2 linked regions of the Caenorhabditis elegans genome follow. The protein of the gene in region 1 purifies or fractionates together with the protein of each later gene. This does not show direct contact. Each region holds a gene or a part of one and is shown on either strand. Other genes may lie near its edges.

Region 1 (4,647 bases):
TTTTTTAAAAGTAATATTAATTATCAACCAGCAGCACATTCCGGATTATCATACAAGTTTCTTGCTGTATTTATACAAAAGGCACTTGATGAAATTACACAATGATGAAAATATGTGTAACAATCAATATGTAGGACCGTTACACATGAGTTGATGTAGCACTATTTGCTTGTAAGGAGCTGATGAATTGGCTTGAAGGCTATCTAATTGTACATTTGATAATATTACAAAACGACCTGGATGTATTCAAAATCGAAAAGATCAATGAGATTTACTAGGGAATCAAATAGATCCACACATTACAGCGTAAATGGAACAATAACTACCGTATTTCGTCGATCAGTTTCGCACCCTCCAAACTCTTGCCGAGAAGTCGATGGATACAACTTGGACAGTTCCTATATTACAGTAAAGAAGCATATTATTCTGTTCTGTTGTTTGTTATTGAAATTGATGGTGCTCGTAGTCGGAAACAAGACAAACTGAAATTATTAATTTCTCATCTTATCTCCTTCCACTTACCCTAGTAGCTACTATTAAAAACTATTGAGCTGTCATATTTTATCTAATAAATGTTATCAATCCCCAGCCTGTCCTGAACTCGTTTACATTTTTTTTTCACTTATTACTATTAGAAAAGTCCGATAAAACTCGGTCGAGAGCTAGTATTGCAGTCTTTAATACTGTATCTAGTAAGTAGGCATAATAAAGAGAATAAGAAATATGTCTTTCCTAAAAATACTTCAAAATAAAAATTTACCAAAAAATCTCATGCTTGACACATCAATTCTTATCCTATAAATATTTCTCTTCCATCACTCTTATCAAAACAGTTGAAGAAATAAAATTCAAATGTTTGATTGTTTACATAACCTTATACCTCCTCCTTCCTTCCTTTTCTCTTATTCTTTTTGTTTCTCTGCCAAGGAGGAGGTGTGGCGTGAGACGCCGGCTTCTTTCTCCAAACAGTCTAACCCTCTATTTCTCTGTTTCGTTTCACTACACACTGCCTTGTTATTTGATAAATTATATATATTTTTAGGCCTTGAGCAATTCCTTTTTCTTGAATTTTTAGATACAAAACAGCTTGTATTTTTAAAAATAAAATTAGTAAGAACTCTCCAGACCATTTGTTCTCCAGACCATTTTTTCTTTCCAGACCATTTGTCCTATTGGTTTTGCACTTAAAACATCATTTTTCAAAACAATAATCCTACATTTGAACGTTTCAAGTATATGTTCCTGGTGTTTTTCTAGTGTTTCTAGTAATCCTTTCTTTCATTTTTTCTCTAATTAGCCGATTTTCCGAAATTTCCAAATATATATTACAGTTGAAATTTTCGTAGTAAAACTTTTCAATTTGTTTGATTTTGATGTTACCCAAAAAAATCTAAAAATCTAAATTGTTTGTATTTCAAAGATTAAAATATCCAAAATACATTTGAGATTTCTAAAAATTACTTCAATAGGTTTTTGATTTACTAAAAATTATTTTTAAAAATATTAAAAATTTCGAAGCATCCGATTTTTCGGCGATTATAGAAAATTAAAATGTTAGTGCTCTTTCTCAGGTTATATTCACTTCTCACTCCACTAAAGGGCATTTCTGATTCATTTTTCCTCTGAAGCTCCTCCCCTTTCGCGGAAAGAGTCACCGAATACATTTTTGAAAGTTTTACCTGTTGAAATTAAATTTCAGTTCATCGAGACCACAACTTCAATCTAATGTTAAAATGATGCGAGCTGGCGACCACATGAATAAGGAGGCTAGAAGAATGATGTAAGTTTTATAAAAATTGTATTATTACTTATTGTTCCGTAGCCTATATATCCTGCAGTACCATAGTATCTTGAAATATTTCACAATCACATATACATAGTACCTGGAAGTACCGTAGCCAATATTACCCTACAGTATGTATAGTATCCTAGCCTATGGTATCAAACCGTAGCCTACCGTACTCGTAACCGGCCTCCCCTATAGAAAGGTATCTTAACCTACAGTACTTCTTAAAACCGTAATCTGTAGTGCACCCTAGCACCATACCAGGGGGGTGCGGCGAATTTGCCGAACTTGCCGCACACCCCTGTACCATACCGTAAATAAATCTAACTTAACCTACCATACCATTTACTACATTAACCCATTTTACCGCACCGTATCCATGAGTAATTTTAATGTAACATACCGTACCCTTCCCATTAACTACGGTACTATTATAGTGAGATATCACGTTCGACTGTTGTCACCCGATCTAAGGTAGATGTTTGCTGAACCCCTAACAAACTTCGGAAAAAGTGCTTTTCATTTAGGTGGGGAATATTACAAATGAATTGTGTCAGCTTTTCTCTCGTTTTTTTCCTGAGTCTCGCAGCAAAGTTGTTCAACTCGAAACTCACCAAACTAAGGAAAAAAAATAGTATTCCCACTATTCTATATTTCAGCTCGGAGCCGTCCTATGCCCCCAACAAAATGCACATGTACTGCAAGTACCCCATGGACGTGAGGGGAAGAGAATGTGGGTTCGTGGGGACCCTTGCTGACTGCATCACACACATGGGCACTCACACGTAAGTTTTTCATAAAATGCAAAAATGGAAGAGTGTTTGACGGACTAGACAACTATCTGAAGGGACAAGAAAATATTAGCCGGAAAACACAAAAATGTTGAAACTAGTGCATTCAATTGCGCGGGAATTCAAATGTGATTCAGCCATTTCTTGCAAGTTTGAGAAAAATAACGTTGATTTTGGTTCATTTTCTATACCACCATGTTACATTGTAATATTACATAATTTTAATTTCAGGAGGACTTACCTCTACCGTTGCAAGAAGTGCTGCATGGATCTCACGGATCCGAGCCAACTCTACAACCATCACAGCGTCACCAATGGAGACCTGTGCACCTCGAAGACCGCGGAAATGGAAGTACTTCCTCCGATAGGAAGAGATAAATCGGTGGATCGTCATAGGTCGCTGAACGTATTTCTTATGGTTATATCGAAGGAAGAATACCATAAGCATAGGACTTCCTCCAATTATGCCCACAACACTCGGAGGACTGGAGGAACTCCTGCTTATGATGATCTTCCGTGTTTCAATCAGATCTCGAGGAAGAAAACATCCTACAGCCACCAGGTTCCGGAAATCGATGTAGAGCTCAACAGTTCTTCCACATCAGCTCTTCCAATTAAAGAAGAGGTTACTACAAGGAGCCCTGCACCAAATATGGGTTTTTGCGAAGTACGCCAGCTCCCAAAAGACTCCAGAGGGCCTCAGAGAGATGGCTCCTCATCTCCTGATGTTCAGTTCATCAAGACTGTGACTATGTCACGGTTAGAGAATGTTGTTCCTACCAGCTCACGTGGAAAGGCGCCAGAAGATTCATCTGCACCAGCACGTCTAGGATTCCTCTCCGATCGTGCGGTCTCCGGGTCATCAATCCCAGCCGTCGAGGAAAGATCTGGAGAAGGCAGCTTCGACTTTACAGGTCCTTCCACTCCTCGCTTGGCCCAGCCAGCTTTTGGGAACTTTTTTGGGAATAGGGCGAGTTCTTCGTCTTTCGGTGCACCATTGTCAACTCTAGCTGTGGACAAGCTGATTCCGGAACCTCATCTCTCCGGAAGCAAAGCGGTCCCAGACCATCGTTTCGATTTCAAACATTTCAGACGTCTCCGAGCAGCGGGAGGAGGGCCCCTCAAGGCGATCGCCGATGTCTCCATCTAATCAACGGGGACGTGGAGCAGGACACCAGCCACGTAACAGGGAACATACACCGAAATCGCCATTGAGAAACCAGAGGGTGAGTAATTTGCAAAATGACCTAGTTTATTCCTCGATCATGCGAAAAAACCAACTAAATCTATCTGTAAATTTCACAGCGTGGTCGCCGAAGCCCCTCGACAGATGAGTGGACCCCCAGACGTTCAGAGCATCACCATCGTCGTGACTATAGAAGAAGAAAGCGGGATTATTCAAGAGATCGCTCACGCCATCACGGAGATCGTTATTAAATTCCATGTTGCATCTCAATTTCTTTTTCTTCGATTTCTCGAGTATTGAGCCTTTATTCACATTCCTTCTCGTATGTTCATAATAAATATTCTATCTACGTTAAAAGTAAAATATTCTATCTACGTAAATCTCCTTGTCTAACGCTCAATACACAACACAAAACATTCGCCTATTTCTTAGACTCGTAAAACTTCCTGATTTCCTTATGAATTTGCATGATCAACGTGCTGCTGTTTCACTATGAACATTTTCTACTCGTATGTTATCCGAACGGCTTTTATCAATTTAAAGATTAAACTCCAATATTTGAATGGAAATGAAGATGTGATGGCAATGATCTATTCATTACTTCTTCTTCTGTCTCGTTAAGAAACAAGATTTCAGCCGTTGCAAAGAATTATATTTATTAAACCCTCAATTCAAATTTCGCGCTCTTTCGAAGACGGGATATCGGAGTGTCGTTGTTTATTTTCAATTTTATTTTTTATTCGCAAAAAATCAATATTTGACTTTTTCTTCTATTTAAAACAGTTTTTGTTGAATTTTTCCTTTCATATAAATATTATTAATCTTTAAAATTTTTATGTTTATATGATTAAATCTTCCTTATTGCCATTAATTGTGTATTTTTC
Region 2 (7,913 bases), on another chromosome or scaffold:
AATACAAATTTTGTGGAAATTTAACAAAAAAAAATTGGCAGATAATAGGCAAAAATTGAGGTTTTTAGGCCACGAAAAGTGTTTTTGGCTATTGAAAAAGCCTAATTTTAGTCAGAGCGATTTCTAGGCCAGCTATGTAATTTTCAGGTCATCTTAGAATTTTCTAGGCCACTTTAGAATCTCCTAGGCCACCGTTGAGTTTTCTTGACCACTTTAGAAATTTCTAGGTCGCTTTAGAATTTCCTAGGCCACCATGAACATTTTTTAGGCCACCTGGCTAATTTTGTCCATTTTTCCCCTTTTTTTGCCGATTTTTTTTTCCAAAAAATAGTGAATTAATCTGTAGAATAAGGCGAGGGAGAACTTGAGGAAGGGCTATTTGAAAAATTTACAGGTTTTGATTCATCATCATCACTTGAGGTATTCTTCGATTTTGAGGAATCGTCTGAATGTGGAGAAGATGGAGATTTTGTTGAATTTTGTGATAAAAATGATGGAAAACCTAATGGTGGAAGGAATGGAAGAGATCCAGCTGCTGATGGAGATGTGCTGAAAAATATTTGGAAAAATTTGAAAAAAAAACCTTAAATAATTTATTTAGCTAAAATTTTTTCACAATTTTATTTTGGTTTTTACGAAAAAAAAAGTTCCGATTCCAAACATTTCCAAAAATTGTGAAGAAACTTCAATATTGCCAATCTTCCAACTCACCTTGATCCATTATTCCCATAAGCTCCATTTCCGGGACCCGTGGCTCCGAATTGTGAGGCGGCAGCTGTTTTCATCCACATTTCATATGCAAATGGGTTTAACATGTAGGCAGCCATTTGTGGAGGAAAGGGCCACGCGAGACCACCGACTCGTTGCCGTTTATCTTTCATTCGACGATTTTGGAACCATACCTGCAAGAAATATTTCAGAAAATTCGACTAAAATCGAGAGTCACTTGCGAGTAATGGCCACTTGGCCACTTTCCACAAGTTTATTTGAAGTAGGGCAAATGAGAGTTTTCTAGGCCATCAGTAAGTTTACTAGGCTACCTAAAAATTTTTTGGAAAGTTCACAAAAATTCAAAATTTTGAGTCATGTCGGAAATGCATCGAGAAAAATTCCTGGGTTATGTCAAAGGTTCCTCGACCACCGTTTAATTTTCTAGTTCATAAATTATAGTTCCTAGGCCACCAGAAAATTTCCTAGGCCATCTGAACAATTTCTAAGACATCTGGAGATTTTCTGAGTTTTTAAAGTTTCCTGGATAATCTTAGGAAGTTTTAGATTATTTTGAAAAACGCTAGGTCATCTCAGAAAATTCTAGGCCAACAATTTTATTTCTAGGACACTGGAAAAAACTAGGCCATGTAATTTTCTAGGATTTCCTTTCATCTCTTCCCCCGCCCAGAATAAGCCTAACCCTAAGCCTAATAACCCTAAATAGCGTCAGTGGGGGAGCGTTAGCTCCAAGTCTAAGACTAAGGCTGAGCCTAAGCCTAAGCCTTAGACTAAGACTAAGCCTAAGCCTTAGCCTAAGCCTAAGCCTAAGTCTAAACCTAAGCCTAAGCCTAAGCCCAAGCCTAAGCCGAAGCCTAACTCATAAATTTCTAACCCTTCTCCTTCTATACTAATTCCCCCGAAAATCATATTGTAACTAGTTGAAGAGGCTACGAAGTTCTAAAAGTATGCCAGTGGGAATAAAAGGCGCGATACTCCGAAATCACTCATAGGCCCTCCGTTTTCTCCTGTCCTCTCAGCTTTTTCATTTTTCAAGGGAGATTGATATGCAGAAGAAGCAGCGGGTCCCGCGTGTATGTCATGGGAAATGATTTGGATTTGACGATGACGGCGGCAGGGGGACGGGGGTACGGTAGCCTATTATGATGCGGAAATCTGCTTCTAACTTTGTCAGTTTTGTAGCTATAAAAATGTTTTTAACTGATAAAATGTAGAAAATTGAATTTTGAATAATTTGGTAGTTGATAATTTTTTGATAGCTATGATATTTTCAGAGATACGAACGTCCAAAATGTGTTCAAACATGTGAGTGGCCTAGAATTCTCAATTGTGCTCTAGAAAGCTTAACGTAGTCTTAGAATTTTAATAGTGGCCTAGAATCCTTACTGATGACCTAGAAAACTTAGTTCTAGTTTTAAAGCTTCAGCCGTGGCCTAGAATCTTCAGTGGTAGCCTAGAATTCTCAATAGTTGTCTAGAATCCTTAGCGATGGCTTTTTGATGATCTAGAAATTTTAAAATTGGCCTACAATCAACTCTGATTACAAAGAATCCTCAGTGATGGCCTAAAGAGATCGTGGTAGCCTGGAATTCTTAGTGGTGGCCTAGACTTGTCAGTAATAGCTAAAACCGTCTGTAGTGACTTGGTCTGAAATATTATAGGTCGCCCAAAGAGCTATGATGTAGCCTAGAGCCATTTAATACTCTAGGAATTTTCATCCAATTTTTCTCTATTTTCAACTTACCTTAATTGTACCTTCTGGAAGATTCAACTCTGCCGCCAACTCGCCACGTGTCTTCCTGCTAACATAGTTTTCCTTTGCGAATTCCCTCTCAAGCCTCCCAATCTGTTCTCGTGAAAAAGCCGTTCGATACCTCCGCATTTGACCGTCGTCTCGGTTATCTGAAATTATTATAAATCAGCATTTCATCAACAGCTTCCCGACGACAAAAACACGGAGCAAATTATGTTTTTCGTCATACAGAATTAAATAATTAAAAGTGCTTTAAAATTCATCAATAAACGGCACAAATTGACTCTTCTTGTTTTTCATTATTAGCATCCCGGCGATGCGGAATTAATACATGCATTTCTTGATGAAAAACATAATTTCCACCCATTATCCTAGTGAGAGGGATTATGAGAGGAGATGGATGGCCGAGTTTTGGAATTCTAGGCCATGAGAAGGTGAAGGAGTATACTTTTGTGGATCGCTCATATGACTGGAGTATCCAGGTGATTCTAGGTTATGGATAGGGTGTTGTGGATCCCTCGAAGGAATATGGCCCATTCAAAAGGTTCTAGACCGTTAGGGAAGACTGTTGTTAACCCTTCAGATTTTGAGGGGAAGGAGGGGTTTGTGAATTCTAGGCCATGTGTAAGGAAGGGTGATCTGGACAGTTCTAAAAAGTGGTGGCAGAATTAGAAGTTTCTAGGTGACCAGGTCAAGCTTACAATATGCCGATCTAAAGGAAAATGGCTCAGATTGAGCTTTCTTGGTCATGTGGAACTAAGAGTGTTGTGGACACCATAACGGAACTTGGCCGGGTTTGAGAATTCTATGCTATTAGTATATGATGGTGCTTTGGGCCCTATAGATGTAGTTAGATTAGGTTGATTAGGCAAAGCAGAAACTCCCGGCTTCCTATACTTATCAGCGGTATAGTTGTCTCCTGACCAAAAGACTAGCTAGTCTAAAAGCCCACATGACATAAGCCTGGCCGAGCTTGCAATCCCTAGGCCAGATGTACCCTTCCCACTTTCACCCGTGTACCTGCCCGGCCGGAACATTGTGTCCTAATTAAATAATTGGTTCACTCCCCTTTTTACGACTAAGGGTGTCTATGAACTGATTCGACACGCAACACCAATTACATGACACATGGCAACATTAGGGCGATTGACTTCGGGGGAGAGGGGGAAGAGGTTAAGCACATCAGAGCATGTTTCCCAGTGTGTCTATCAGTGATCATATAACCCATTCGCAACACTAACATAGATAATTGACCACTAAACGACGCGTCTACAGTACCCCGAGAGGGGGGGGGGGGCAGGTGTAAAACAAAAAGAGAGAACATTTACGATATAATAGCCGACACCAAACAATCCTCATTCACACTCAGTGATTGTGTCGAAACCGCAACATTTACACATCGTTTATGATGACAGGGAGCTGCGTGGCCTAGGAAAAAGTCTGGCCTGGAAAGCAAAAATTCGGCCACGCCATGTTCTAGGAGATATGAAGCCTATTGAAATTGTATTTTCTAGGCCACAAAGAGAACTTTCAGGGAGGAGCACATGGAACTATATTAGCCCTTTGAAAGTTCATGGCCGTGGTTGAGTTTTCTAGGCCATCAAGAAAAGGGAAGCTAGTACAGCTTTGTTGAAAAAGCATTGGCGGGGATTTCAAAAGATCTCACTCAGTAAAAGTTGTGACGGGAAAATTCAAATTTTCAGAGTAGAAACTTTGGCGGAGAAATTTTTGGCGGGGAATTTGAATTTAAAAAAAACCAAACTGTAAAAACTATCAAAGTTAGAATGTGGAAATTTGTTTATACTTTTGGCCTAAAAAAGGCAACCTCAGTCACTTCTCGGAGGTAACTGTAATCTTTCACGCGTTGGTTCTAGCCCGTGGCCTAGAAAAAACTCGGCCACTGCCTACCCGCTCCACTACTCCCACGTGTCATAATAGGTGCTCATTGTCCATTTGCTCGTGTCAACCTCATCCATCCGCTCACCCCCCTCCACCTCAATCAATCTCCCTCAATTTGTCACCCCCACCCAAATACGGGACTAAATTAGTGTTCAGCGAGGAGATGAAGCTAGGGGAAGAAGTATTCTTGAATAATTATGTCCCTTCTCATCTCGGGCACACACACACCCATTTTTCTTACCATACGGATGATGACGTCCGGCGGCTGCTGCTGCTGCCGCTGCGGCCACCACACCCATCGGGTCATGATGCTGCTGCTCAAATGGAGGGGAAAATGAGGAAGCTCGAGATGCGGCGACCATCTCCACAAGTGATGGGACCTGGAAATGAGAATTCGAATTACGAGATGTTTTATGTGTTCGGATGGGGGGGGGGGGTGTGTCCTAGGTGATGGGGCTAAAGTAGATTTTATGCTCAACGTGGCCTAGGGACCCAAAACTAGGCCATAACAGTTTTGGGGTGTCAGGGAGGCTTTACTTAGAAACTAAGAGTTGCATCATCCTGGAGCTGTCCGGGGGTCTTCAGAGTTCGGCTAAAAGACTTTAGGGTGTCGAAAAAGTTTCAATGATATATTTTTTCAAATTTTTCTAGATTAAAAGAGGTAAAAACAACTTTTTTTATGTAAACAGTTTTTGATCTGAAAATAAAATCGACATTGTTTTACTAGACATAATTATTTTTCAACTACAATTGGAATTAATTTGAATACTAGAAATAACTGAAGTTTGGCTGTCAAAATAGATAATTTTCGGTAATTTCAACTTTTCAAAAAACGATTTTAATTTTTTTTTCTGTATTTCTTAAATCAAAATTTCAAAGTATTAATAAAAAAGAAAATAGTTTAAAGAATAATTTAAAAACTTCTAGCAAAACAGATTTTAAAAAATTAGAATTTAAATGTTTCAATAATTCAAATAACTATGCAACTATGCATTATAGCTGAGATTATGCAATATGACACTTTTTGATTATGCAACCTAATTAAATTGTCCATAACTCTGCAACTAATGCAGTTATCAAAAAGTTGACAACTAACAAATTATAGCTTAAAACATAATGAACAAATTGTTTGTTGAAAATTTTTTGCTTGCATTATTACAAACCAAGTTATAACCACTTTTAAACACTTTAAAAAAATTATCTTTTAAGCTTCAAACGCCCGATAATCTTGAAAATTGTGAAACTGAATGAAACTTTTACAGTTATCAAATAAAATTTTAGCAACATAAATCTTCTAAACTTTTATGATTAGATTAATAATTTTTCATTAAATTTTATTGCATGAAATTATATAATTTTTTATTTCTACCTATTACAGTTATCAAAAAAGTTGAAAAAATCCCTAAAAAACTACAAAAATTTAGAAACTTTAATTTTAATGGATCTTTGACAACAAGAAGTTTACAGACATTAAATAACAGTTCTACAAAAGTAAAAAACATGGTTCTCAAAACAAAATACAAAACAAAAAAATCTCACCTTATTAACCCCAATAAGGGACTCAATATCAAATGATTGCATGCTAATTTTTAAAATTTTTGATAGTTTTTTTTTCAAATAAAAGAACTTGAGTACTAAAACTCAAAGATAAAGGAAACAATAGAATAAGGCGCTGGGCGGGGCTCAACCTCTCGGTGACTACGGTGGATTTGGCCACGCCCCACGCTCAGATGAGAAGGGCGGCCAATAGAAGAGGGGAAGGAGTGCTGGAATAGAAAGAGACTTTAGATAATAATCTTTTTCCATGACGTTTGAAATTTAAAATACGGCAGATTTGGCATTTTTTTGGAAATTTAATATTAAGAGAAAATGTATTGCTTTTCAAAAACATCAGGTCATTTTTTTTTTCAAGTAAAACTTCAAAAAACCAATTAGTGGCCGAATTTTTGAGTTTTCCAGGCCACGTAACCAAGTAAAGGTTCTAGGGCCCTTACAATGAAGAATATTACACAATGATTAAAATTATTTTGCAGACAGTCTAATTTTTTTTCTAGACCATGTTTCCTAATACCCACGAGGTACCTGCGTGAAAGTTCCCCAATAACGGTTCTCAAAAAACTTCAGTATTCTAGGCCACGTGATCAAGCTAAAGTTCCCGGCCGTTACGATGAAATTCAAAATGAAAATTTTCGAAAATTTCACGGAGGTGGCCGAGGGTTCAAATTTTTTAGGCCACAAAGCAACTGGAGCCCCTTAGCTCATTCAATGTTTCATATTAATATACAAATTATTTTCTCTTTTACGGTGGCCTAATTTTGATTTTTCTAGGCCATGTGCTTAGCTAGGTGAAACGGATGAAAAAACTTATGTAAGTATTTTCAACATAAAAATTCAACATTCAAATTGACAGGTGGCCTAACTTGAATTTTCTAGGCCACTTTTGCCGAGCTCGGCAAATTCGGCAAATCTCTTTTTTCAATATTTGCCGAGCACGGCAAATTCGGCAAATTCGGCAAATTCGCCGTGCTTAACAAACTCGGAAAAATTTGATATTTTTTTATATTTTTTGGAGCACCAAAACTACTGAATTCTTAACACACATCTGGTTTCTGAATAAGTTCCGCGTAGAATGTCTGTTTAAGCATCAAAATAGCTCAATTTTGTATCATTTTACTAAATTTTTGGCTAAAAAATCAATAGTTTTAGTCAAAATTGTACTGTCAAATTTTTGACGTGTGCGGCAAATTTCGAAATTTGCCGAGCTTGGCAAATTCGGCAAATCTACTTTTTTGAAATTTGCCGAGCTCGGCAAACGGCAAATTCGGCAAATTTGCCGCACACCCCTGGTATGTATGATCTCACCGTTCTAATAGAAATTCAATTTTGCGAAATCAGAGTTTTGAAGTTTCTTGGGATTCCCATAACCTTTTTTTCAAAACTTTAAAAGCCATCTACACAATGGCCTAGTTTTTCTTAATTAGGCCACAAAGTCAGATGGAAACAAAAAAGTGTTCCTCCCCATCAAAAAGTGATGAAAGCCTCATCAAAAGTCATTAAGTGACATGACTAAGCAGCTCTTTTATTGTCATTGCATGTATCTCCCCTAAATGTTGCATCGGGAGAGAGAGAATGAATCATTCATCAGGCATTCCGCTCCCCCTTCTCTCTATTTCATTACTTTTTGGTATTGATACACTTGAATACATGTGGAAGACAATACAAAATGGTTTAATGTTTACTCTATTTGTAGGGCATGTCCCTTCAAAAGTTGAGTATAGGCAGTGTGCCTGAGAACACTGGAACTTCCGAACCAGGGGTGGGCCGCGGTTGCCGAAAATTTTAAAATTCGGCAATTTTGAAATTCCGACATTTTTTGTCCGATGGAGCGCGCTTTCATTGTTTTTTTTTCACTTTATCTCTTCATCAAGTTTTCCATCGCGCTCCATCTACTCAGAAAAGAGAAAAGACTTTAAAATCTAAAAACGTTCACTATTCTCAGTACTCACAATTGCAGTTTAGTATGGTCTAGAAA

Evidence for each region. Proteins that work in one complex are often made in the same cells at the same time.
Region 2: the proteins of C27A12.4 (region 1) and vab-7 fractionate together in Caenorhabditis elegans (co-fractionation; one large-scale study listed by BioGRID). This does not show direct contact.

The regions. Positions count from the first base shown.
Region 1 is NC_003279.8:6,033,755-6,038,401, forward strand, and holds C27A12.4 (C2H2-type domain-containing protein), read left to right. Parts: upstream 1-1,693; 5' UTR 1,694-1,733; coding exon 1,734-1,780; intron 1,781-2,445; coding exon 2,446-2,571; intron 2,572-2,808; coding exon 2,809-3,727; 3' UTR 3,728-3,803; intron 3,804-3,882; 3' UTR 3,883-4,130; downstream 4,131-4,647.
Region 2 is NC_003281.10:10,918,435-10,926,347, reverse strand, and holds vab-7 (Homeobox protein vab-7), read right to left. Parts: upstream 6,005-7,913; 5' UTR 5,963-6,004; coding exon 5,921-5,962; intron 4,762-5,920; coding exon 4,623-4,761; intron 2,632-4,622; coding exon 2,474-2,631; intron 903-2,473; coding exon 712-902; intron 550-711; coding exon 336-549; 3' UTR 307-335; downstream 1-306. UniProt on the Caenorhabditis elegans protein: Transcription factor. Involved in motor neuron fate determination and maintenance, acting as a transcriptional repressor to counteract gene activation by transcription factor unc-3 in a subset of motor neurons.